Linked DNA regions of Arabidopsis thaliana. The protein of the gene in region 3 purifies or fractionates together with the protein of the main gene of each other region. This does not show direct contact. Each region holds a gene or a part of one and is shown on either strand. Other genes may lie near its edges.

What was found.
Region 1: the proteins of AT1G62020 (region 3) and AT2G34840 fractionate together in Arabidopsis thaliana (co-fractionation; one large-scale study listed by BioGRID). This does not show direct contact.
Region 2: the proteins of AT1G62020 (region 3) and AT1G67760 fractionate together in Arabidopsis thaliana (co-fractionation; one large-scale study listed by BioGRID). This does not show direct contact.
Region 4: the proteins of AT1G62020 (region 3) and AT1G24510 fractionate together in Arabidopsis thaliana (co-fractionation; one large-scale study listed by BioGRID). This does not show direct contact.

The regions. Positions count from the first base shown.
Region 1 is NC_003071.7:14,700,373-14,705,242, reverse strand, and holds AT2G34840 (Coatomer epsilon subunit), read right to left. Parts: upstream 2,756-4,870; 5' UTR 2,641-2,755; coding exon 2,467-2,640; exon of another isoform or gene 2,375-2,466; coding exon 2,285-2,374; intron 2,202-2,284; coding exon 2,050-2,201; intron 1,957-2,049; coding exon 1,821-1,956; intron 1,732-1,820; coding exon 1,576-1,731; intron 1,413-1,575; coding exon 1,333-1,412; intron 1,172-1,332; coding exon 1,078-1,171; 3' UTR 872-1,077; downstream 1-871. Other genes in the region: MEE25 (NAD(P)-binding Rossmann-fold superfamily protein), read left to right, coding at 1-120, 207-451. UniProt on the Arabidopsis thaliana protein: The coatomer is a cytosolic protein complex that binds to dilysine motifs and reversibly associates with Golgi non-clathrin-coated vesicles, which further mediate biosynthetic protein transport from the ER, via the Golgi up to the trans Golgi network.
Region 2 is NC_003070.9:25,404,182-25,408,541, reverse strand, and holds AT1G67760 (TCP-1/cpn60 chaperonin family protein), read left to right. Parts: upstream 1-2,123; 5' UTR 2,124-2,269; coding exon 2,270-2,587; intron 2,588-2,683; coding exon 2,684-2,728; 3' UTR 2,729-3,226; downstream 3,227-4,360. Other genes in the region: TEL2 (terminal EAR1-like 2), read right to left, coding at 1-499.
Region 3 is NC_003070.9:22,917,443-22,924,921, forward strand, and holds AT1G62020 (Coatomer, alpha subunit), read left to right. Parts: upstream 1-2,044; 5' UTR 2,045-2,219; intron 2,220-2,348; 5' UTR 2,349-2,371; coding exon 2,372-2,579; intron 2,580-2,683; coding exon 2,684-3,178; intron 3,179-3,338; coding exon 3,339-6,286; 3' UTR 6,287-6,582; downstream 6,583-7,479. Other genes in the region: AT1G62030 (Cysteine/Histidine-rich C1 domain family protein), read right to left, coding at 6,867-7,479. UniProt on the Arabidopsis thaliana protein: The coatomer is a cytosolic protein complex that binds to dilysine motifs and reversibly associates with Golgi non-clathrin-coated vesicles, which further mediate biosynthetic protein transport from the ER, via the Golgi up to the trans Golgi network.
Region 4 is NC_003070.9:8,684,359-8,690,362, forward strand, and holds AT1G24510 (TCP-1/cpn60 chaperonin family protein), read right to left. Parts: upstream 3,889-6,004; 5' UTR 3,744-3,888; coding exon 3,545-3,743; exon of another isoform or gene 3,445-3,544; coding exon of another isoform or gene 3,405-3,444; exon of another isoform or gene 3,332-3,404; coding exon 3,013-3,331; intron 2,910-3,012; coding exon 2,561-2,909; intron 2,418-2,560; coding exon 2,285-2,417; intron 2,204-2,284; coding exon 2,151-2,203; intron 2,059-2,150; coding exon 1,956-2,058; intron 1,783-1,955; coding exon 1,616-1,782; intron 1,513-1,615; coding exon 1,399-1,512; intron 1,317-1,398; coding exon 1,146-1,316; 3' UTR 913-1,145; downstream 1-912. Other genes in the region: ALB4 (OxaA/YidC-like membrane insertion protein), read left to right, coding at 1-225, 305-608; BCP1 (homolog of Brassica campestris pollen protein 1), read left to right, coding at 4,341-4,700. UniProt on the Arabidopsis thaliana protein: Molecular chaperone; assists the folding of proteins upon ATP hydrolysis. Known to play a role, in vitro, in the folding of actin and tubulin.

The DNA.
Region 1 (4,870 bases), on a different chromosome or scaffold from region 3:
TTGATGGGACTTGTGTACGTGATTACATTGATGTCACCGACTTGGTTGATGCTCATGTTAAAGCTCTTGAAAAGGCGAAACCCCGCAAAGTTGGTATCTTCAATGTTGGTACCGGGAAAGGTATAAAATTAGATGTTTGGCAAAGATTCTAGGATAGTGAAGTGAATGGATTTCAGAGAATGTGGTATTAATTGTTGTGCAAGCAGGTAGCTCGGTGAAGGAGTTTGTGGAAGCGTGCAAAAAGGCGACCGGCGTTGATATAAAAGTCGATTACTTGGAAAGACGGGCAGGAGATTACGCAGAGGTTTACAGCGATCCAAGAAAAATCAAAGAAGAGCTGAATTGGACAGCTAAGCACACCAATCTTCAAGAAAGTTTAAAGATGGCATGGAGATGGCAAAAGCTTCATCGCAGTGGCTATGGATCTTCTTCCTTGGTTTCTGCATACTGACCATTATGCATTAGGTATGTGAGCATTGCCCTTCAAGGACTCCTTCATTAGAGTCTTGATTCTAGATGGTAGTGAAGGTAGTAGAAGAAGATGGATTTATTCTTAGTAGAATAGTATTCATCTTATCCATATATAGAGATTATATATGAGATTATTGATTAATAAAATATCATCCATGTCAATCACCTATTTTATTGTGATTGAGGTTTATCAAAATCCTAACGGAAGACATATGTCGCTTCTTTGTGTAAAAAGTGAAAATCATTGGTTGGAAAAAAATTGAAGTATTTCCAAGTGAGAAGCTTTTGTTTGTTTTGGTATTTCTAGTTTGGATTCAAACGATCGGTTGAATTCACTCAAGGTTTCGGGTTGAGTTACACGATCTGGATTGGTTAGGTTCGAAATTAAGTAAATGACAAACGGAATTGAGAGTGCGAGAGGTGGAATTTGATATTTTCAAGTAATGAAATGTAACTTAACATATCTAATGGCAAAAGCTGGTTCATATACTGGTTTCGAAAAGACAAGACAGTATGGTTGTTCTGGTAGATTTACCAACCCGGTGAAAATATGCGGTAAAGCAAACAAATCCTGCACGTCTTTTAGCTTGAACCATGGAAGAGTCTTTAGGCGACCAATTGAACTGCTCTCTCGAAGTTATCTTCAGCTGATGATACACGCTTCACAAGTATGTGTTCCGGGTGTGAAAGTTTTAGCTGGCTGCAAGAAGGATAGGTGATACAAATGAAGTTAACAAACGAGACCGACCAATGTTTTTATTAGGATTAAGGACACAGTTACTCTCGATTAACTTTTCAGTGAGTTCTACTGATTGATTGGGCAAATGATGCCTAATATAAGAGTAGATAATGAAAATTTACCTTAGGTGGCGTGAAGAAGACTTCCCGACATGAAGACTGCACACAACAAGATTTGCAAGAGTTTCTGGATCTTTAGCATCCTGCAATCACCACAAATTAGTATAAACACACTTCCCCATATACAGAAAAGCCAAGAGACAAGTGCAGTGTGAGAAATTTAGAGAGGTCCCTAGTTTCATATTGTTCCCGAGAATGCTAATGTACAGAGCAAATTTAAGGTACACAAGCCTAATTTGTAGTTACCTTGTTGAGTGCTTCAAGAAGTAGTGTTTCAGCTTCATCGAAGTTACCCATTTGCATACAGCAAACAGCTTTGCCATTCAAGATCAAGCATGTCATTGGGTACTTCTCAGAAAAATCCTCGAAAATGAGATAAGCTTCCTGTATCTTCGAACCGCCCTGAAATCAAATAACGCCTTAGCATAAGAAGCAAATACACAACTCTTTGAAAGAATAAGCCAGAACACATTGAATATTTCGCATTATACCACTGCCAGGTTCAACCAAGCGCTAGCAAGTTGAGTGAGAGTGTGGTCTTCATCAATCTGTTGCATCACTCTAAGCTGCTTCTCAGCATACTCTGCTCTATGCATCTTAATGAATATCTGAACATTCAAGGCATACCTAGAAAAACAATAGCAATGAGCCATCTAAGAACATGTTTTAAAACACAGTATAAATACTCAATCCACCAAATAAAAATCGAAAAAATCTTACAAATCCATAGTTCCTCCAGCATGAGTATGCTTCAAAGTTTCATTATAATCTTCTTCATGCATGAAAATAATACCAGCAATCAATCGTAATGTATCATTGTTTCCTATTGTTGAATCTGCTAACCATTCCTTCAAGCTTGAAATTGTTGATTCCTGAACCAATAACAATCGTTCCATATAAGCATTTGAATCTCTTTACAACATGTTTCGTGAACACGAATCAAAGCCGTAATTACCTTATTTTGAGGAGTCGATAGATACATAGCGAGGAGTTTGACTGCTTGTAGTGGAGTAGCGGCTGATTCATCGATCTCACTGATAACAAGCTTATACACACCAAAATTTGGAAGAACAGATCAAAACAAAACGTAATCGAATCTAAAGAAGAAGACATTATCGATATGATTAGAGAAGTAACCTGATAGCTACCGAGGGCGATGTAAGATCGGAAGACGAGACAGTCACGTTCCACGGCGTTTTCCGGCGAGAGGTTGGCGATCTCGCTGTTGTTGATCGCCGTTTGATAAGCTCCCAAATAGAAATTGTTTCTGAGGTTGAAGAGGTGATCTGGTCCTGCTCCCATGGCTGACATTGCTTCTTCTTCTTCTTCTTCTTCTTCTTCTTCTTCTTCTTCTTCTTCTTCTTCTTCTTCTTCTTCTTCTTCTTCTTCTTCTAGATTTCACAGCTTCGCGTCTAATTCCAAAATCCAAACGAAAGTAAACGGGTTAATAACATAATAACCCCTTAAGTTATAAACTGAATGCATAATAATCCCAGTTCTTTTTGAACTGTTCAAGTAACATCACTAATTTGATTTGGGCCTTGTGCGGCAAAATAACGAATCAGGTTCTTTGTTTGACTCCTGGGCTTTATATCTAGTTGTGTGTTGTGAGCTTTTGGTCAGTCTATGTTTTAAAATCAGAAACGTGAACAAGTTTTTTTTATATATTAAGCATATCACACACTACTCGAAATAGTATTAGACGACAGACATGGTTGAATTAGTGTACTAGATGTCTACATTTGGTAGTGTTCAAAAAAAAAAAAGATGTCAACATTTGGTTGAACGAGCTATTCTTAATTAAAAGAAAATCAATAAATTCATATTTGTTATTATCAGAATGTGTTAGGTTAGTTTTATCGGTCTAGATGATTTTGTATTACGGTGATGTTAATCGGTTGAATAGTCATTGTATATATACTTGTACAAAATACATTTACGGAAATTTAATCAGAAAATATCTTCTTCTTCATCTGTAACAAACTTTCTTATCTCTCGATCGTAATATGGTATTAGAGCCATCAAAGCTCAAATTTCTTCATAAATCATCTCATGTCGATCTAAGAAGCAACATGTTATTTCTAGATACTGAGCATTAGCTCTTGCTACTTGTGAGTTGGTTTGGTTGCATACATTGCTCGTATCTTAAACGGATACTACTTCGATTCTTATCTTGTTTTCAGACAGTACAGATGTTATCTATATTGCAATCAATTATATCTTCCATGAGAGCACGAAATATATTGAGATTGACTGCCATACCGTGCGTGACAAGTTGGATGATGGTGAGCTTAAACTGCTTCATGTTCCCACGGATGATCAAATAGCTGATATTTTGCTAAACATTTGTTCTCACATCAGTTTGAACATCTAAAGTCCAAGATGAGCATTCTCAACATTTTCGAATCCTCATATTGAGGGGTCATATCAGAGAGTGTTGATTTAATTTATCGGTTTAATTGATTTTGTATTACGCGGGTTATATTAACCGGTTGTATTGTCATCGTATATATACTTGTACAAAATACATTTACAGAAATTTAAGGGGAAAATATCTTCTTCTTCATCTGTAACAAACTTTCTCATCTCTCAATCGTAATAATTATATATAGGATATAGTTAAATAAACATAGTTCAAATTTAAATCATGTTATAATATACATATAAGAGTATGACTGTTGTTTTTGTATGAACTTGAGGAACACTTAAAGGGCATGGTCGATTTTACGTAAAGTCAATATTCATTTCACATGTTCAAAGAAGTCCTCGTGCTACACAACCCAATTAATAACATAAATCAATACTATAGTTTATCAAAAAATATCAACCTCTAAAGTCTAAATGTTCTATCAATTTGTGTACTTGTGATTCGTGCAATTCTCTGTGTAATGGGTTTAGGCTCGCTTTTAGCTGAATTAGAATAATTAATGAGTTATGGTTATCAGACATTAATTACATGCACCTTTTAAATGTAAAATGCATCTTCTTGGAATAAGCTCCTCTAGTTTGGTTCTTACTTTATGCAAATTTTGTTTTAATGAATCTCTTTTCTCAAGTAATCTATAATAAGTTTACTATTTGTAATCCCTAATAATCCAAAGGCCTTCTCACTTCTAAAAGTTATCATCATATGCATCTTTTAAATAGCATTGATGTGTCTAATCATACGTTACCAATCTAAACACACATATTCCGTGGTTAATCAGATTTATCTTTCTTTGTCAATTTAAATTCTTATATTGTTTTAAATATATCTGACTGGATAACAGATATTAAATATTACTATTTTTATAGAATCCGTTCATCAACATGCGTCACCGTAGAACGAGGGATGCATGACTTATTTTGTTTTAATTTTTGCACCGTATGGTCTAATTATTGTAGTAAACAATATATAAGTTCATGCCGTTTCATATTAAAATGAATCTGCGTGGCCATTAGAGACGAGGCCTGCTTCATATCATATGGGTCGCGATTTTATTTTTCTTTATCTCCTTTGATAAAATACTAAAAGAAGCCAAATGGCCGGGAAGTGAGAGAA
Region 2 (4,360 bases), 2.5 Mb from region 3:
GGGCCCAAAGAGAATGACCGGAGACGAGTCCACGCGCCGTCGTGAAGTGGAAATGTTGTTGTTGTTCCTGTTGTTGCATGTGACGGTAACGTATCTCGTTAAAAGCTCTTTGTGAGTTTATTAGATTGTAGAAATGGAAAATCACGATTCCTTCATGTGCTCTTTCCATTTGGACTCCACGGACTTCACCGAATAGTTCCATGTCTCGTCTTAGAGATGTCTCAGTGACGGTAGCTGGGACTTGTAATAACATCACGGCTCTGGTTGGTGTTACTGAAGTCGGTGGAAGATGAGGAGGAGGAGGAGGAGGAGGGAGAGAGAAATAAGAAAAGTATAGCGGCGGCGGCGGAGGAGGAGGAGGAGGAGGGGGATGAGGGAGGAAGAATCTTGTCGGAATTAAGGAGGGGTTTTGGTTTTGGTGTTGGTTTATCGCCGGAAAGAACGCCGGAGCTGTTGGGTTAAGGTTTGTTGGGTGACTGAATGGTCCGGTGACAGACATTGTTGGTTTAGAGGGAGAGGTGATGAGTTGGGAACTGGTTTTTCCGGTGACAGGTAATGACTATGGACGTTTGATATTCTTCAGTGATCGTACTATTTCGTCTCTCTCTACCTCTTTATTTGGTGCCAAGGGGAGGGAGAGGGAGAGAGCACAAAAGTGGAATTTTTGTTGGTTTTGTTTTTATTCTGCAGAGATTTCTATTATTATTTCCCAATTTTTGTTTACTAACAAAACAAGTCAAGGTTCTTTAATTTAATGGTGTACTAACTCGTTCGAGCAATTTACCATTTTGTCCTTTGAGAGGGTTTCATTGCAATGGACTGATGGAAAATGCAGAGTATTCAAACAATTGTAGAGGTTTTTTTGTTAATAATCACGAGAAGAACATAGGTTACATAACAAAGTCTCATTCATTTTTCTATGTTGATTTAGTTTTTAAGATAATCAAATCATGTTTTTCTCTAAAACATTATTTACGAAAGAATTTTTCTTGTTTAAAACAAATATCATAGTTAGATTTTATGCCTAGGAACACAATTTTCGATTAGTTGGGTACCATTATCCATGTATCATACTATATAGAATTTGTATTTGGGTGCAATAGTTCGTAATGTCGTGTTCCCCAATTTCACCGCAAAAGTGCATGGGCCGATTTGTCGTGTCTCTCTCCATCTCAATGCAAAGTGTAAACTATCTAAGCCTATACATTTCTAAATAATCTGTAGTATTGTTTATGTTCCATAAATGTATAGTGACAACATTCCTTTTGACGTAAAAACAACGAATAAATCTCACCCACATAGACATTACATTACATTTAGCCCATATTAGCCTAATCTAGCCTTTTGTTTCATAGATTTTTATAAGTTTTCTACAATCTCCTATCACAAAAGAAGGATTAGGGAGGCCCTCTAGGTCAGATACGTAATGGTTTGGAGCTATGGAGTTTGACATACGTAATATCTGTCTATGTACATATAATAAACGCATGTCATGTAAATATAGTTATAGTTCGAGGGTAGGACCAAATAGGGACCAGGGCAATTCCTTGTTTTAAGGAATGTTATTGTTACCTACTTCCTTGTTTTGGGCTGTCATTTGTTTTTGTCATGTTTATACCATATCCTTCATTTATTACATAAACTACATTCTCTAGCTAATAATAAAAAAAGTGTGAAAACGTGAATATCTTCTATATATTATTTCAGAATTCAGCTACAAAAGTTAAGAATAAATTATGAAGAAACTTTGTTGATTCATCATGATGTGATCATAATGATGAAGACATGAAGTTATACTTCAAAAATTTTATCAACTTTTGGTTAGTAAATTATTTTAGTGATTTTTTATGTGTTATTTATTCAAAATTTAAAATGAATGTTTATATGATTTTCCACTTTTAAAAAATAAAATTGAGAATGGTTGGTATGCAATGAGCCAATTAGTGATTGAAACGAAATATCAAACTTTTATTTGTTCGATCCCATGGTTACTTGACCTTACCACGAGACCGGTTGGGCTAATGAGAGTAAAAGAAAAATAGGCATATTGGGCCATAAGCCAAAGGCCCACGTAGTGCATATTATTCTTAGCTCTTTCTTCAAACAATTTGATTTACGAATCTGCCATTTCTAACGATTTAGGGTTTTACTCAGTACCATGTCTCGACCGTTTTGAATCTCAAATCTTAACACTCTTCTTCTTTGAGCTCTCACCTTTTACCATCCGAGATCTGTATCGGATCGAACCGCCGAGAGTGAAGAATCAGAGATGGCTTTGGCTTTCGATGAGTTTGGCCGGCCGTTCATTATACTAAGAGAGCAAGATCAAAAGACTCGTCTTAAGGGCATCGATGCTCAAAAGGCCAACATTTCCGCTGGTAAAGCAGTGGCTCGGATTCTCCGATCCTCTCTCGGTCCCAAGGGCATGGAAAAAAAATGCTTCAAGGACCTGACGGAGATGTCACCATATGTTAGTTTCTTCCTTTTGAATCTCATCTCTCTTAGGTCTATCCCTATGGCTCTTGCTTTGAACAGTGGATTGCAGCCCATTGAAACACTCTCAGCTGTAAAATCTCAGCAAATTAAGGTAAGTGATTGATGTGTTTTGTCTTTGTTTACTTTATATATTGGCTTGTTACTGTGAAAGATGGGTTAAGTATTGGGTTTGTTGTTGAATATTCAGGAGAGGAGAACATTCCATTCTACGGGATTGATTGCAACGATGTAGGGGCTAACACATGAGGGAACAAAACATGTTTGAAACGTTGATCATGAAGCAGCAACAGATCGTACTTGCAACACAAGTAGTTAAGATAATCAAGATCGATGATGTCATCTCCCCATCAGAATACTGATGAATGATAGTCATGTTTGGATTGTTTACGTTTTCTTGCAAGCGTATTTATGTAAGAACATTCCACAGATAATTTTTCACTGTGGTTAGGTGTGCTGATTTTGAATTTATTAAGCTTGCGGTTTTCTTTCGACATTAGAAGACTTAAGTGTATTGATTCAGGGATTGAGTTTTGATTGGTCCCTCATGTTCAAAGCGATGAACATTTATGAGTTAAGAAAAATAGGACTGTTAGAGGTTGATGAAGTTGAACATTAATGGAGCTGAGTAATCATTGGTTTGTATTTTGTAATGTTTTGATAGTAAAAATTTTGGTGGGTCGGGTTAAAACGTTTACATGCGTGAAAGTCAAATAACGTTCTGTACCTTTTGTCTACTGCAGACAGTTGTCATGAATGCTTCATTATGCTTCTTTGTTTGTTTGGTTAAAACCAATTTTGATCATGTTTGGATCTTGACAATGTTGCATTTTGATATAACATATTGTTTTTATATAACTATAACCGTCGGTGATCCGGGTCAGCATCGTATTAGGGATCCAAAACTAGTTATTTAACCACATGATCCGACTTAAGCCGTTCGACTAATCTCAAAAGCAGTTGTTCGACTAATCTTAAAGGTGAGTCAGTTCTACTGAAAAATCTACTATCTAATAATGGTCGTCAAATATTTTGAAACGGCTATGAGTGTAAGAGTCTACTATTAAAGCATGTTGTTTGAATCATAATCATAATCAAATCTGATTATAGTTAGTTGCTCCCGAAAAGGAAATTAGTTCGTTCTCTAGCACTTGCGCATTTTTCATCTTCAAAACACCGATTTTGAAAGTTACTATATTTGACATCTTTTTTGAAACGGCATTTTTCAAACTGCAGTAATGTAGTACTCTAAGATTTATTTCACATTTGTAACAACTTTTTTTTTTTTTTTTATATCTTAGTTTTGGTTTGCCACATTTTCCGGTTCATTTTTAGTATATAGATTTTATTTTTATCTTACACTCTGTTATTCGGTAAAATTCGCTTCACTATCATTTTTACTCATTACTGTGTTTTATTTTCTTCTGTATAGTAAATTATCTATCGTAATAATGTGTTAGATTAACCAAATGATTAGCTACACACTTGTTCGAGGTAGTTTTTTTTTTCTTTGGTACTGAAAAACTTGCAAGTGTGCCATCATTTGGTACACGGTGATATATTGATTGAGATTCACTTAAAGTGAAACATGACTCTTCTTAGAACATGTTACGATGAACGTGAAGGTTGTGTCCCATTCCTAATTCCAAAAAACCATAACTATCCACATGGTACCAAAACTTCCAAAATTAGCCCAAAATCAACAAATTAACAAAACAACAGAAAGAGATAAAATAGTTCTCCACCGACAAAGTTGCTGATAAATAATTCATTTGTTTACTCCTACAAAGATACACCATTGCACTCAAAATTAAGTACTTATTTGCAATGGTCATATGATTACAATTGGATTATAGAAACATTTAAT
Region 3 (7,479 bases):
ACAACTCTGAGGAGTAAGATCCACTCGCAAACGATGGAACGGTTTATTCAAATTCCTAGTTTGCTTTTTCTACTTGAGTCCTTAAGTTTGTATTAGAGTCTTCAGTATACTTCATACCTTCTTGTTCAACCCAATTCCAACTCTTCAGTCTCTGCTACATCTTCAAACTCCATCAAGCCTCAAACTAATAATCTTTCAAGTGAGATTATAAATCTTCAAGCTTCTTGGATTGGATATATCAATAGACTATAAAAGCTAGTAGAAAAGAGTAGAAAAGCTAGTTGAGGATTTATAATAAGGTAAATAAGTAGAAAAGACTTTTATAGTCTATTGATATATCCAATCCATTTACTTGATCCATCTCTGTATGCAATCTGACTGACAAATTGTAATTGTTAAACTCTTTTTTACTAGCTTTTTTTAACTCTTCAACATTAAAAGTCTAGAAACAGAAGACAACTATTTACTACATGATATTTTTGGTTATTTGTTAACAAGAAGCACTGTGGTAAAGCAGCCGAGGATGAATAATTTTAGTGTTTGTTTGATGAGTGTTAATCTTCATGGAATCCATAACCACAAAGATTTGGTTGATCCATCTATATAAAGCAAATAGGTGTAGTTAATCAATTCAAGGTCTTTTAGTGTTATCCCTTGCCAAGGAGGGCAACACTAGAGTCTAGAGTTTCGTTTTCCACTTGAGTCCTTCTGTTGGAGACAGTGTCTTCATTACACTTCCTAACCGATTCCAAAGCTTCAAATTTCATCAAACCTGCAACATAATGATGACTTCACAATGGTGTCGAGTGAGCTCCATTAAAACATGTATAGGCCTAGGATTCAGCATAATGATGATCAAGCGCTATCTTGAGTGCATTGTAATTTGATGAAAGAAGTTGACTTGACCAGTGGCAACTAGAGGCTGGAGAAGAGGATTGTCCCAAGTTATAACCTAATCAAAGCTGGTACGTCTCGAAGCATGATGATAAGCTGGTATTGGAGATTACTGTTTTTGCTCCAAGGAATGTCATATCAAGAAACTGTGCATTGTTCTTGTACCTCGCTAGCATCTTCCTTTGTTGGTTACATGGTTTGCTATTCCAACCAAGCTCTGGTACTATAAGGCAAAAGGAAAGGAGAAGGAGACCATTAACTAGTCTATATTACAACAATACATTATATGTTTCGTGGATATCTCTTTTTCTTATCTTCTCTGCTGTTTTCCTTTCTTTTGTAAAGATTGTTCTTTGAACATGAATCAATACACTTTAGAATCTATTAAGATAGCAAATAAGTTGATGCAAAGAGCAAGTGTGAGATGGATAATTGAACGGGAGTGAATGAACCTGTCACTAGATCTCTAATGGTTGTTGTTACCTCCTGGCTCCTCCTCAGCTGCCTAAACTGCGTTTAGCTCGGCCGCCTATCACTTTTTTTTTGTGTGTAGGTTTGATTGGTCTCTCTCATTCAGAATCATATGATCAATTTGTTTTCAAGTTTTGCAATGTTTTTGAAAACATTACATTTACGCTAATTGGATTTTTAAACTCGATAACCGTGATTACAAATAGAGACGTAATATTTTTTAGATTATTTCTCATGTTTTTTTGTGATTTGTTCATCTTATGCATAATTTATTTTTCACTTATGTTCAACAATAGTATACAAAAATTTAGAAATGCTCATCATATATAAAATCACTTTTGACGTTCTGAGGCTCCAATCTATTAAAAATAAACGATATAGATGATAATATATACGTCTTTTAATCAAGTGAATGAATATTTAGTTTTTTTTTTTTTAATAGGCTTCACTTTGTTTCTTACTCAGTTTAATTTTTATTTGGTTTTTATAAAATTACAACTTAGTTTTAATCAAAGGTTCTAAATTAAATTTGACCAAAAACATAAAAAAATAATTACGTAAGAGCTTTTTTGGCAGAAAATAATTTAGAGTAATTATTTATTCCTTCGACGTTAAAAAAGAATAGGAAAAAATATGTTTAAATTGCATCATTCGACCAATAAGATTAGAACTCATCCTTTTTTTTTTTAAGGATATATAGAATTCATCACTGAATACATGTTTTTATCCCAAATTAACGCAAAAGAGAGAACTCGAGATCTGGGCATAGCGACTCACTCAGATCTATACACCTTCTTCTTCTTCTTCTTCTTCCTCTTCCTCTTCGCTTCGTTCGTAAACTCATCTGATCTGTGGTAACCACCATTGTTCCTCTCCTTACGATTTCGAATTTCTGTTTTGATCTCACTACCATTGTTGCAATTTAGATCTATTTCTAATTGTTCGTGATTCGCTTTTTTTTTTCTGTGATCTGGTTTTTGTAGAGTGCCATTATCGTTGAGAGATTATGTTGACAAAGTTCGAAACCAAAAGTAACAGAGTTAAGGGACTGAGTTTTCACCCTAAACGACCATGGATTCTCGCGAGTTTGCACAGTGGCGTGATCCAGCTCTGGGATTATCGTATGGGTACTTTGATCGATAGATTCGACGAACACGAAGGACCTGTTCGTGGTGTTCATTTCCACAATTCTCAGCCTCTCTTCGTCTCCGGAGGTATATATAATTCGGAATCATTGTTAGTGAAATCGTATAAGCTCAAAAGAATGGATCTATACATGATTTGTTGCATTACAATGATGTTGATCTTGATATTGCAGGGGATGATTACAAGATTAAAGTGTGGAACTACAAAAACCACAGGTGCCTTTTCACTCTTCTAGGGCATCTTGATTATATCCGCACGGTTCAGTTCCATCATGAGTACCCATGGATTGTGAGTGCAAGTGATGATCAAACTATCCGTATATGGAACTGGCAATCACGGACTTGTGTTTCTGTATTGACTGGTCACAATCATTATGTTATGTGTGCTTCTTTCCATCCGAAAGAAGACCTCGTCGTATCAGCTTCGTTAGATCAGACTGTTCGTGTTTGGGATATTGGTGCTCTTAGGAAGAAGACTGTATCTCCTGCTGATGATATCATGAGGTTGACTCAGATGAATAGTGATCTTTTTGGTGGAGTTGATGCCATTGTCAAGTACGTTCTTGAAGGTCATGATAGAGGTGTAAACTGGGCTGCTTTTCATCCCACCCTGCCTCTTATTGTCTCGGGTGCAGATGACCGCCAAGTAAAGCTGTGGCGTATGAATGGTAATTATTTGGTGGTATACTTTTGTGCTTACAATTTTTATATGCTATCAATCGTCAATGATGTTACTGATATGAAAATATTCTGCATGCCTTAATCCTTAGATGAATCTCGAAATTGCAAAGACGAGTTGGTAACATGTTTTTAACGATATCATTGCAGAAACTAAAGCTTGGGAGGTGGATACATTGCGAGGCCATATGAATAACGTTTCATCTGTTATGTTCCATGCAAAACAGGACATAATTGTATCAAACTCTGAAGATAAGAGCATCCGTGTCTGGGATGCTACCAAGCGAACTGGACTTCAGACTTTCCGTCGTGAACATGATAGATTCTGGATTCTTGCAGTTCACCCTGAGATGAATCTACTAGCAGCAGGACATGACAGTGGCATGATTGTGTTCAAGCTTGAGAGAGAACGTCCTGCATTTGCTTTGAGTGGGGATTCTTTGTTCTATGCCAAGGATAGATTCTTGCGGTACTATGAATATTCAACTCAAAGGGATTCCCAAGTTATCCCTATACGGCGTCCGGGTACTCCAAGCTTGAATCAAAGTCCTAGGACTCTATCATACAGTCCCACTGAAAATGCAGTTTTGATCTGCTCAGATCTGGATGGTGGTTCGTATGAGTTGTACATCATACCGAAAGATAGTGTTGGCAGGAGTGACGTTGTGCAAGATGCAAAGAGAGGGACAGGTGGCTCTGCAGTATTCATTGCCCGTAACCGATTTGCTGTTCTCGAGAAAAGCACCAGCCAAGTGCTAGTCAAGAATCTAAAGAATGAGGTGGTTAAAAAGAGTCCTCTGCCTATTCCCACAGATGCTATCTTTTATGCTGGGACTGGGAATTTGCTTTGTAGATCTGAGGATAAAGTAGTTATCTTTGACCTCCAGCAAAGGCTTGTTCTTGGTGAGCTTCAGACACCATTTGTTAGGTACGTTGTTTGGTCCAGTGATATGGAGAGTGTTGCTTTGCTCAGCAAACATACTATCATTATCGCGAGCAAAAAACTTGTTCTCCAGTGCACGCTTCATGAGACGATACGTGTGAAAAGTGGAGCTTGGGACGATAATGGTGTCTTCATTTACACAACTTTGAATCATATCAAGTACTGTCTTCCTAATGGAGATAGTGGAATCATCCGAACCCTGGATGTCCCAATCTATATCACCAAGGTGTCTGGTAATACAATCTTTTGCTTGGATCGGGATGGCAAAAACAAGGCTATCACCATTAATGCAACCGAGTACATTTTCAAGCTTTCACTGCTGAGGAAGAGATATGATCATGTCATGAGCATGATAAAGAACTCTCAGCTATGTGGACAGGCTATGATTGCTTACCTGCAGCAGAAAGGATTCCCTGAAGTTGCCCTCCATTTTGTTGAAGATGAGAGGATCCGATTCAATCTGGCTCTTGAAAGTGGCAACATCAGTGTGGCTGTTGCATCCGCTACACAGATTAACGAGAAAGACCACTGGTATAGACTTGGAGTGGAGGCTCTTCGCCAAGGTAATTCTGGAATTGTTGAGTTTGCATACCAGCAGACAAAGAACTTTGAGAGGTTATCTTTTCTTTATCTCATTACTGGAAATTTGGACAAGCTTTCAAAGTTGATGAAGATTGCAGAAGTGAAGAACAACGTAATGGGACAGTTTCACAATGCTCTCTACCTAGGAGATGTTAAAGAGCGTGTTAAGATACTGGAGAATGCTGGTCATTTGCCTCTAGCTTATATCACAGCTTCGGTTCATGGTTTAAATGACATTGCTGAGCGACTGGCAACTGAGTTAGGAGACAACGTGCCCTCATTGCCTGAAGGAAAAACTCCATCGCTTCTAATGCCACCGACACCCATCATGTGTGGTGGTGATTGGCCTCTTCTTAGAGTGATGAAAGGAATATTTGAAGGAGGACTTGAGAGTGCAGACAGAGGAGGTACTGTTGATGAAGAAGATGTTGAAGGGGATTGGGGTGAGGAACTTGACATTAATGTTGATGGAATGGAGAACAGAGATATTGAAGACATTTTGGCGGCTGCAGAAGCAGGTGAAGAAGAAAACGATGAGGAAGGTGGATGGGGACTTGAAGACTTGGTGCTCCCACCAGAGCTTGACACTCCTAAAGCCTCTGCTAATGCACGTTCATCTGTTTTTGTGACACCTCCCCAAGGTATGCCCGTAAGTCAGAGCTGGAGCCAGAAATCTTCTCTTGCTGCTGAGCAAGCCGCAGCGGGAAGCTTCGACACTGCAATGCGTCTGCTCCACAGACAGCTTGGTATCAAGAACTTTACACCTTTGAAATCGATGTTTCTAGATCTGTTCAATGGCAGCCATAGCTATCTGCGTGCTTTTTCTTCATGTCCTGTGGTTCCACTTGCCATTGAGCGTGGATGGAGCGAGTCTTCCAGTCCCAACGTCCGTAGCCCACCAGCTCTTGTTTATGATTTCTCTCAGCTAGACGAGAAGCTCAAATCCGGCTACAAAGCTACAACAACTGGGAAATTCACTGAGGCTCTCCGTCTCTTCCTTTCTATCCTGCACACCATCCCTCTAGTGGTAGTCGAGACAAGAAGAGAAGTGGATGAGGTCAAGGAATTAATCGTTATCGTTAAAGAATATGTCCTTGGTCTTCAAATGGAGCTCAAGAGGAGAGAGATGAAAGATGATCCGGTGAGGCAGCAAGAGCTCGCTGCTTACTTCACTCACTGCAACCTCCAAACACCTCACTTACGGCTTGCGCTGCTTAGTGCAATGGGTGTCTGCTACAAGGCAAAGAACCTCGCCACTGCTTCTAATTTCGCCAGAAGACTGTTGGAAACAAGCCCAGTTGATAGCCAAGCCAAGATGGCTAGACAAGTTGTGCAAGCCGCTGAACGTAACATGACCGATGAAACAAAGCTTAACTACGACTTCAGGAACCCTTTTGTGGTATGTGGTTCCACATATGTCCCGATCTACAGAGGACAGAAAGACGTCTCATGTCCTTACTGCACCGCCCGGTTTGTACCAAACCAGGAAGGAAACATCTGCACGGTCTGTGATCTAGCAGTGATTGGCGCAGACGCATCTGGTTTGTTATGCTCTCCATCTCAAGTCCGGTGATCAATTTCAGATTTCATAATCAATACAGAGATGCTCTATTAACAGAATAAGAGTGTTGAACTTTTGGTGTTTTTGTGATTGTGTACTTACCAATCAGGTTTGAGGATTTTTCTCGTTGCAGGTTTTTATTACTCTTTTAAAAGTTGTTTCTTATCTTTTAGTACACATGAGAACTTTAGCTTCTTGCTTTATAATTTCTCTTTTTGATGCATAGTAGCACTGGATAACTTGTAATTTCAATTTCGGAAATTATGGTTTACTTGTGAAATTATGATTTTATAAATTCTCCAAATTTTTGAATTTTGTGAGTGTCGTTCCTAATTACAAATTTATCTACAACGAAATGTACCGATAAAGTCCAATGTATTTTTTTAATTGAACCGATAGTAAACCAAATTGTTTAGTCAACTAACTGTAGTTCTAGGGAAAGATAACACTGTAACATGTTGATTGCTAAATAGTTTTTTCTCCTTGCATGTTTTATCAATCGAGCTTTTATAAAAAGATTGATCCGACAGAACCCGACGCAACTAAACCGATAGTAACACAAAAACAGAGACACATCAGAGAACACTAATCTCTACGTCAGTGCTGAGAACTCATAATTTCCGTAGCCTCTCCGTTGTAGATATTCGCGATGACCAGCTGTGTTCACCTTTGTAGACAAAAAATAACCAACACAAGATGTGGAACAAAATTTTGAACCAGACGACTCCAAAACTATTTTGTGTGGACAACGCTTCTTGCAATGAGAGCAAATAGGTCGAGTCATATGATGATCGTTGGCCCGAACATATATCTTCTCTCCATTGAAGGAGAAGCTTATCCAAGATGAACCAGGCTTCACGTATAAATCCTGCCCAAGCAGACATTCAATGTGTAGGGTGACGCAACAGTACTCACCACACGTATAAAACCGCTCCTTTGGGTCTATCTCTTGCTCGCAAATATCACACCAATAAGTCGTGATGCATGTCTCCTCGCCATAAGAAAGAGTGAGCATATGTTTATCATGCTCATACCTTACCTCTTGAGGTAAAGTGGCGCATCCAAAACACAAAGCAAAGTAGTCACACTCAATGCAATTGAATGTTTCGTTTGTTGAAAACTGTTCTAACTTTTTGCAAACGGAACATCTTCTTTGCTCTTCTGGTTTCGATGTTAGGAATAAAGAATGTTCATGACTTTTATGG
Region 4 (6,004 bases), about 14 Mb from region 3:
CAACAACATTTTGAGCACGGCACAGCAAGTATGGCTTCAAAAATATGGTGGTGCTAAGAATCCAGTGGAGAAATTCACTAATTTGGTCACTAAGGAAGATAAAACACAACAAATTGAGAAGTCTTTTTCAGAACCACTAGTTCAGAAGTCTGTTTCAGAACTGAAAATACCAAGAGAGAAGGGTGGTGAAAAGGTGACCCCAGAATGCCCCAAACCTGGTGAAAGGTAACCAAATCTTCTAAAATGTGTCATCATTCGTTCCTAGAAGCTGTTTTTTTGTACTAACACGTCCATGTGATCCCAGGTTTAGGCTGCTGAAAGAGCAAGAAGCAAAGAGACGTCGAGAAAAAGAAGAGAGGCAGAAAGCTGAAGCAGCTCTATCTAATCAAAATACAGACAAAGCACATGAACAAGATGAAAAATCTGATACAGCCATTGTCGCTGAAGATGATAAAAAAACAGAACTTTCTGCTGTGGATGAAACATCCGATGGCACAGTAGCTGTGAATGGGAAGCCATCCATTCAAAAGGACGAGACTACGAATGGGACATTCGGCATTGGCCATGATACAGAACAACAGCATTCTCATGAAACAGAGAAGAGGTAAAGACTCATGTTTTCATGTCTTAAGGCGAAGCCAAACAAACAAAGAGGAATTGAGATTTGAATAAGACGAGGAGAAATCTTGGTACTCAGGCCTTGTAGTCCCTCTGCAACAGATTTCGAAGTTTATAGATCTTAAGAGTGGGAAACATTAGTCTTCAGGGTTTAGATTTTGTGTACAAAGACCATAGCAGATGGGTATTTGAAGCCTTCGAAGCTTGGTTTCATATTTCTTATGTTCTTATGTACAAGCAAACAATTACTTTTGTCCTCGTTCACTGGTGTTACACTAATACGATAATAGTTTAGTCTACAGTATGAGACCTGCATCAGTTACTAAATCGAAAAGAAAATGCAAACGAGTGCTTCGATCTGTGGACAAGTACACACAAAAATTAAGATCTGACGATGTTCTTAAATAGAAGGTTGCAAAACAAAGGGAACAAGTCAAGGATAACGATGTCGAAGGGTATCAAAAGCTAATAGAAAGCAAACAAAAAACACCGAAGAAGCCAAAGGTTAGGACAAAGGTAGCAACAAATCAGTATTCAGAATTGGAGATGACATCGTCGATCTTTAGAATCATCTTAACGACTTGCGTAGCTAGCAAAATTTGTTGCTGTTTCCCGATCAATGTTTCAAACACATTTTGCTCCCTCATATCGTTTGTTCCCACGTCATTGCAATCTATTCCATAGAAGGGAATATTCTCCTGTTCATCAAAACCCAATGTTTGTTCAGTCACCGAACAAGCAAGTCAATGATATAGATAATAAAGTTCGTCGTTTACTAACCTTAATTTGCTGAGATTTAACCGCAGAGAGTGTCTCAATGGGCTGTAATCCACTGTTCTCTGCAAGAGCCATAGGGACAGAGTCCAAAGCTTCTGCAAACGCCCTAATTGCATACTGTAAATGAGGAAGTATTTATACATGATTAGTATTCAGAGTTACAATTTGAGAAACAAATGATTTCATTTCAGGGTATCAAAGAGGAAAGATCATATTTTACCTGCTCCACGCCAGGGTATTTATCAGCAGCTGCATCAACCGCAAGTGAGCAAGCGATTTCAGCTGCCCCACCTCCATAAACAATTGATTTGTTGCGGATGAGATTCCTAGCCACACACAGAGCATCGTGGATACTACGTTTCGTCTCTTCTATCATCATTTTGTTACCTAAACCATATTCCGCAACAAATCGTTGGATCAATCAGTTATACAATATCGTTGTCCACCATATACTTAGAAGGCATTAGATTCAGTACATCGATGTTTATCTCTCATCAGCTATTCAAAAGTCAAAACAGTGCTGCTAAAGTGCTAATAAGTACAAAAGACAAGGCGATTACCTCCACGGATGAAAACAGTGACAGCTTTTGAGTTCGCACAGTGCTCAATATACAGCATTCGTTCTTTTGTTGTGCCAAAAGATTTCTCACGAACCACGCCAGCCTAAATATATCAGGAAATGTTGGGTTTCAATGGTCTGTTTAAAATCTAATTAACATTTTACAAGCAAAACCTAGTGAAAGTAAAAAAAATACCTTCCCTAACTTCTCTGGGGTCAACTCCTGGAATCTTGGAACAATTCTACCGCCTACAAAAAGAAAAATTTCTGATCAGCTTTGCATAACTGATACAAACACTAGCATTAGATGCTTAAGAGTACTTTACTTACCTGTGGCTATTGCGATAAGTTCTAATTCAACACCCCCTACCCATCTGACAGCAGGCAAATTCCTGTGCATCAATAGATGGTTTGCCTCATCATCGAATCCCCATTGGCAAATAACCAGCGTAGCACCAACATCCTGCAAAGTTAAAATCATAAGGGTCATACATAAATCATATCATAAAATGCATTGTGGTACTAATGACCATTGTCAAAAGGATTTCTTCAGTAGCTTACTCAACATCCAACTGACAATATAAATTAATACAAATTAAAACCTACCTTGCACTTTTGTACCATCTCATCGAAATATTGCTGCTCTTGCTTGCGCAATGTCTCAAACTTTTCCACTGTATCAATGTCCACCTTATGCTTAGTCTTCGGCTTCGGTGGCTCAAAGGGACAAGTCAAAATGGCAATGTGGGCATCTTCAATCTGCTTTGGCATTTGCGGATGACTCATATCTTTGTCAATCAGTATTCCATAAATAAGCTCAGTGTCCTCCAACTTTCCCCCAACTTTCCCCTCTACTTTGATCAGATCTAAGTTAACATCCCTCCTCTCTAAATCAGCAACAGCAAGAACCGCTTTAACAGCAATCTCAGCTAAGCTGCGCTTGCATCGATTCACACTGTAACAATGAGCAAGAAAGAGTTAAGACAGTATACTATAAACCAAGTAAAAACAAGCAACAACTATTGAAAAGTAGCCTGAATATCAAAAAGGAACATTACATCTTCGAGGACAGAGTAGTCATGCAAGTCTGAACCAGAGGCTCATAATTATTAACATCGAATTCAAACTTTTGGGCAATACGCTCCAAATGCTCAACAGCCACCCTAGAAGCCATCTCATATCCTTCAGCAATACGAATGGGATGAATTCCTCTATCTAACTGACGTTCAGCTTGCTCAAGAAGTGCACCAGCCATAACAACAACACCTGTTGTTCCATCACCAATTTCATAATCCTGACTCCGCGACAGTTCCACCATTAGTTTCGCAATCTGGTTGTCAACATCCATTTGCTCCAATATCGTAGCACCATCGTTTGCTGCAAAAGCAAAACAAAGGCGAGGTTACAAACAATATACAAGTAGTAGTAGAGCTGAGCTAAGTTAACAGACATAGCGAATCGATTTTCAAAAAGTAGATGGATCTATTCATCAAACTACGGCATCAACATAGTAAACACTATGCCAAGTAAACAAGAGCGAAACTAGAAATTTAAAAGCAGATATGAAGAAATCAAAAGGAAGAAACGAACTGATGGTGATGTCTCCGTCAGGTCCTTGAAGCATCTTATCCATTCCTTTGGGTCCAAGAGAGGATCGAAGGATCCGAGCCACGGCTTTACCAGCGGCGATATTGGCTTTCTGAGCATCGATTCCTCTAAGACGAGTCTTTTGATCTTGCTCTCTCAGTATAATGAACGGACGCCCGAACTCATCGAACGCCAGCGCCATTTTCGAGCTTCTCTCGATCCGATCGAACTATAGATCTTGGGTTTTTTTTGTTTCCTAGTGCACTGGAGAGGAAAAAAAAAAGTTGAAATGGGGAAAAAAGCGAGAAGAAGAATGTCTGGAAGATTTGAGAGCTTAAAGTGGTCGAGTGTAAAACCCTAACTCGCTGTTGATGGCAGAATCGTAAATCGGAATTGATTCATGGGCCTAACAAGACGTTTGGGCTTATGGGTTTAAAGCCCATCTGATATAAGATGAATAGAATGTTCATGGCAATACTATCATAATTTGGTTCTTTAATAAGACACTCGTTAATACGACGATTTGAAGTTGAACGAATGGTTTCATATTCATTCGCATGTTCACCAATCAAAATCTATATCTGAACAAGTCCATTTTTAGGTACTCCAGTAGATTTACATTGGATTGTAAGGTAATCCTACATCTTAGTTCAAACGTTTTCTATTTTATTTTTGGTCTTGATCACAAAACACAACTATATATACATATCAAACTCATCTTCGGAAATCATCACAATCAATAAACCTCAAACCCTAAAATAAATTAAACGAGTTCTACGTAAGAAGGAGAGAGAGAAGAATGGGTCGCCAAAACATTGTCGTCGTGGTTGCCCTCGTCTTCATGGCCATCATTGGCCTTGCCGCAGCTGCCTCCTCTCCATCTCCTTCAGCGTCTCCCTCCAAAGCTCCAGCTGCCTCCAAAACCGATCATGTCGAGGCTCCAGTCACCGATGACCAAATCGGAACCACCGATGACGATGCAGCTCCTACTCCTGGTGACGGTGACGTTGCAGTGGCTGGTCCTCTAGGAAGTGACTCCTCGTACGACAATGCGCCTACAGGCTCTGCTGATTCTGCCAAAAGCGGTGCGGCAGCTCTTGGCGTCTCTGCGGTCGTCGTTGGTGTTACATCCATTGCTGGTTCTTTCTTGTTACTCTAAGTTGGGCATTGTTTTATGATAAGAAGGTTATTTTAAACGAAGATTATTTATATGTAAGGATGATTGTGATGATCTTGTTGTAATTTGTTTCTCCTTTGTTAGGAGAAACGTTGTCTTTGTAATAATACTGAAAAAAAAAACTTTTCACTAACGGTGTTTAGATACAAAATTCTGAATTGAATATAATAATATACGATTTCGGGGTCAAAAGCCATAATAATTAATTAAGTAAAATTGTAACCATCGTGTATAAATCTTAATCAAAATGCAAACAAAAAAAAAACAAGAAAAAAATATCCTAATCAAAATGCATATATTTATGCATTTAGGGACGTTAAGATTACTCAAACTCTCTATCACTAGAGGAGATGATACAAGATTTAAGACTAGCCTTTGCCAGAGAATCAGCCAAAGTGTTCTCGGATAGAAATACCAAATAAAAGAAAAGGACATATTTTTTAAACTCCAAATAATAACTCAAACTAATAGACTAGATTGAAAATAAGTTTTGTCTCCAGAGAAAGAAAATATATTACATTGGAATTTTAAAGGTGTGAATGTGATGAGGAGCCAATTTCATGGTTGGGTTTGGGGAGCTTCCACTATAGAAGCTCAGCGAGGGACCCATACAAGGAGTGAAGGAAGAGCCGTACGCGTAGTAGTGTATACGGGTTCGTATTGGTGTGTTGCACTTTTGGTCCTAAACTCAACTAATAATACCTATTTTCTTTTTCTTTTTCCTTTTTCTTTTTCGATCTCTTTCTTTCTTTAGGATCTCTTTAGTCTTATCTATCAAAATACCACTTCGTATTTGGGGTATTCCTATCAATAACCAACCATACAAAGCATCAATGCATCATTCTCATATTCATATATCATACTTGATAAAGAAAGTTCCATATTCACTGACTGTCCAGATATTTATTATTTGAAAAGAAAAAAATTGTTCAACGATTTAAAGAGAAGTTTTTGAAATGACCATGTAAAAAGTGATGATTTTAAAGTAAAAGAGATCAAAAGGCATAGGAGTGCTCTTTCGAACTTGACACCTATTGCAAGATATTTAAACTTTCGAGAATGTTGCTCTTCTATGATATTTTCATTAAAATTTAAATAAAGAAAATAAATATCCTCATTTCAACTTGAACCACCACTCACAAGAGTCTAATCAACACTTAAAATCATTTTGTTCCAACAAATATCTAAGTTAATTCAAAAATACTTATCAAATTATAGGGTATATATTTAAAACAAAATTCTAAAATTCCATAAGAACGCCTACGAACGTACCAATCTAAGGCCTT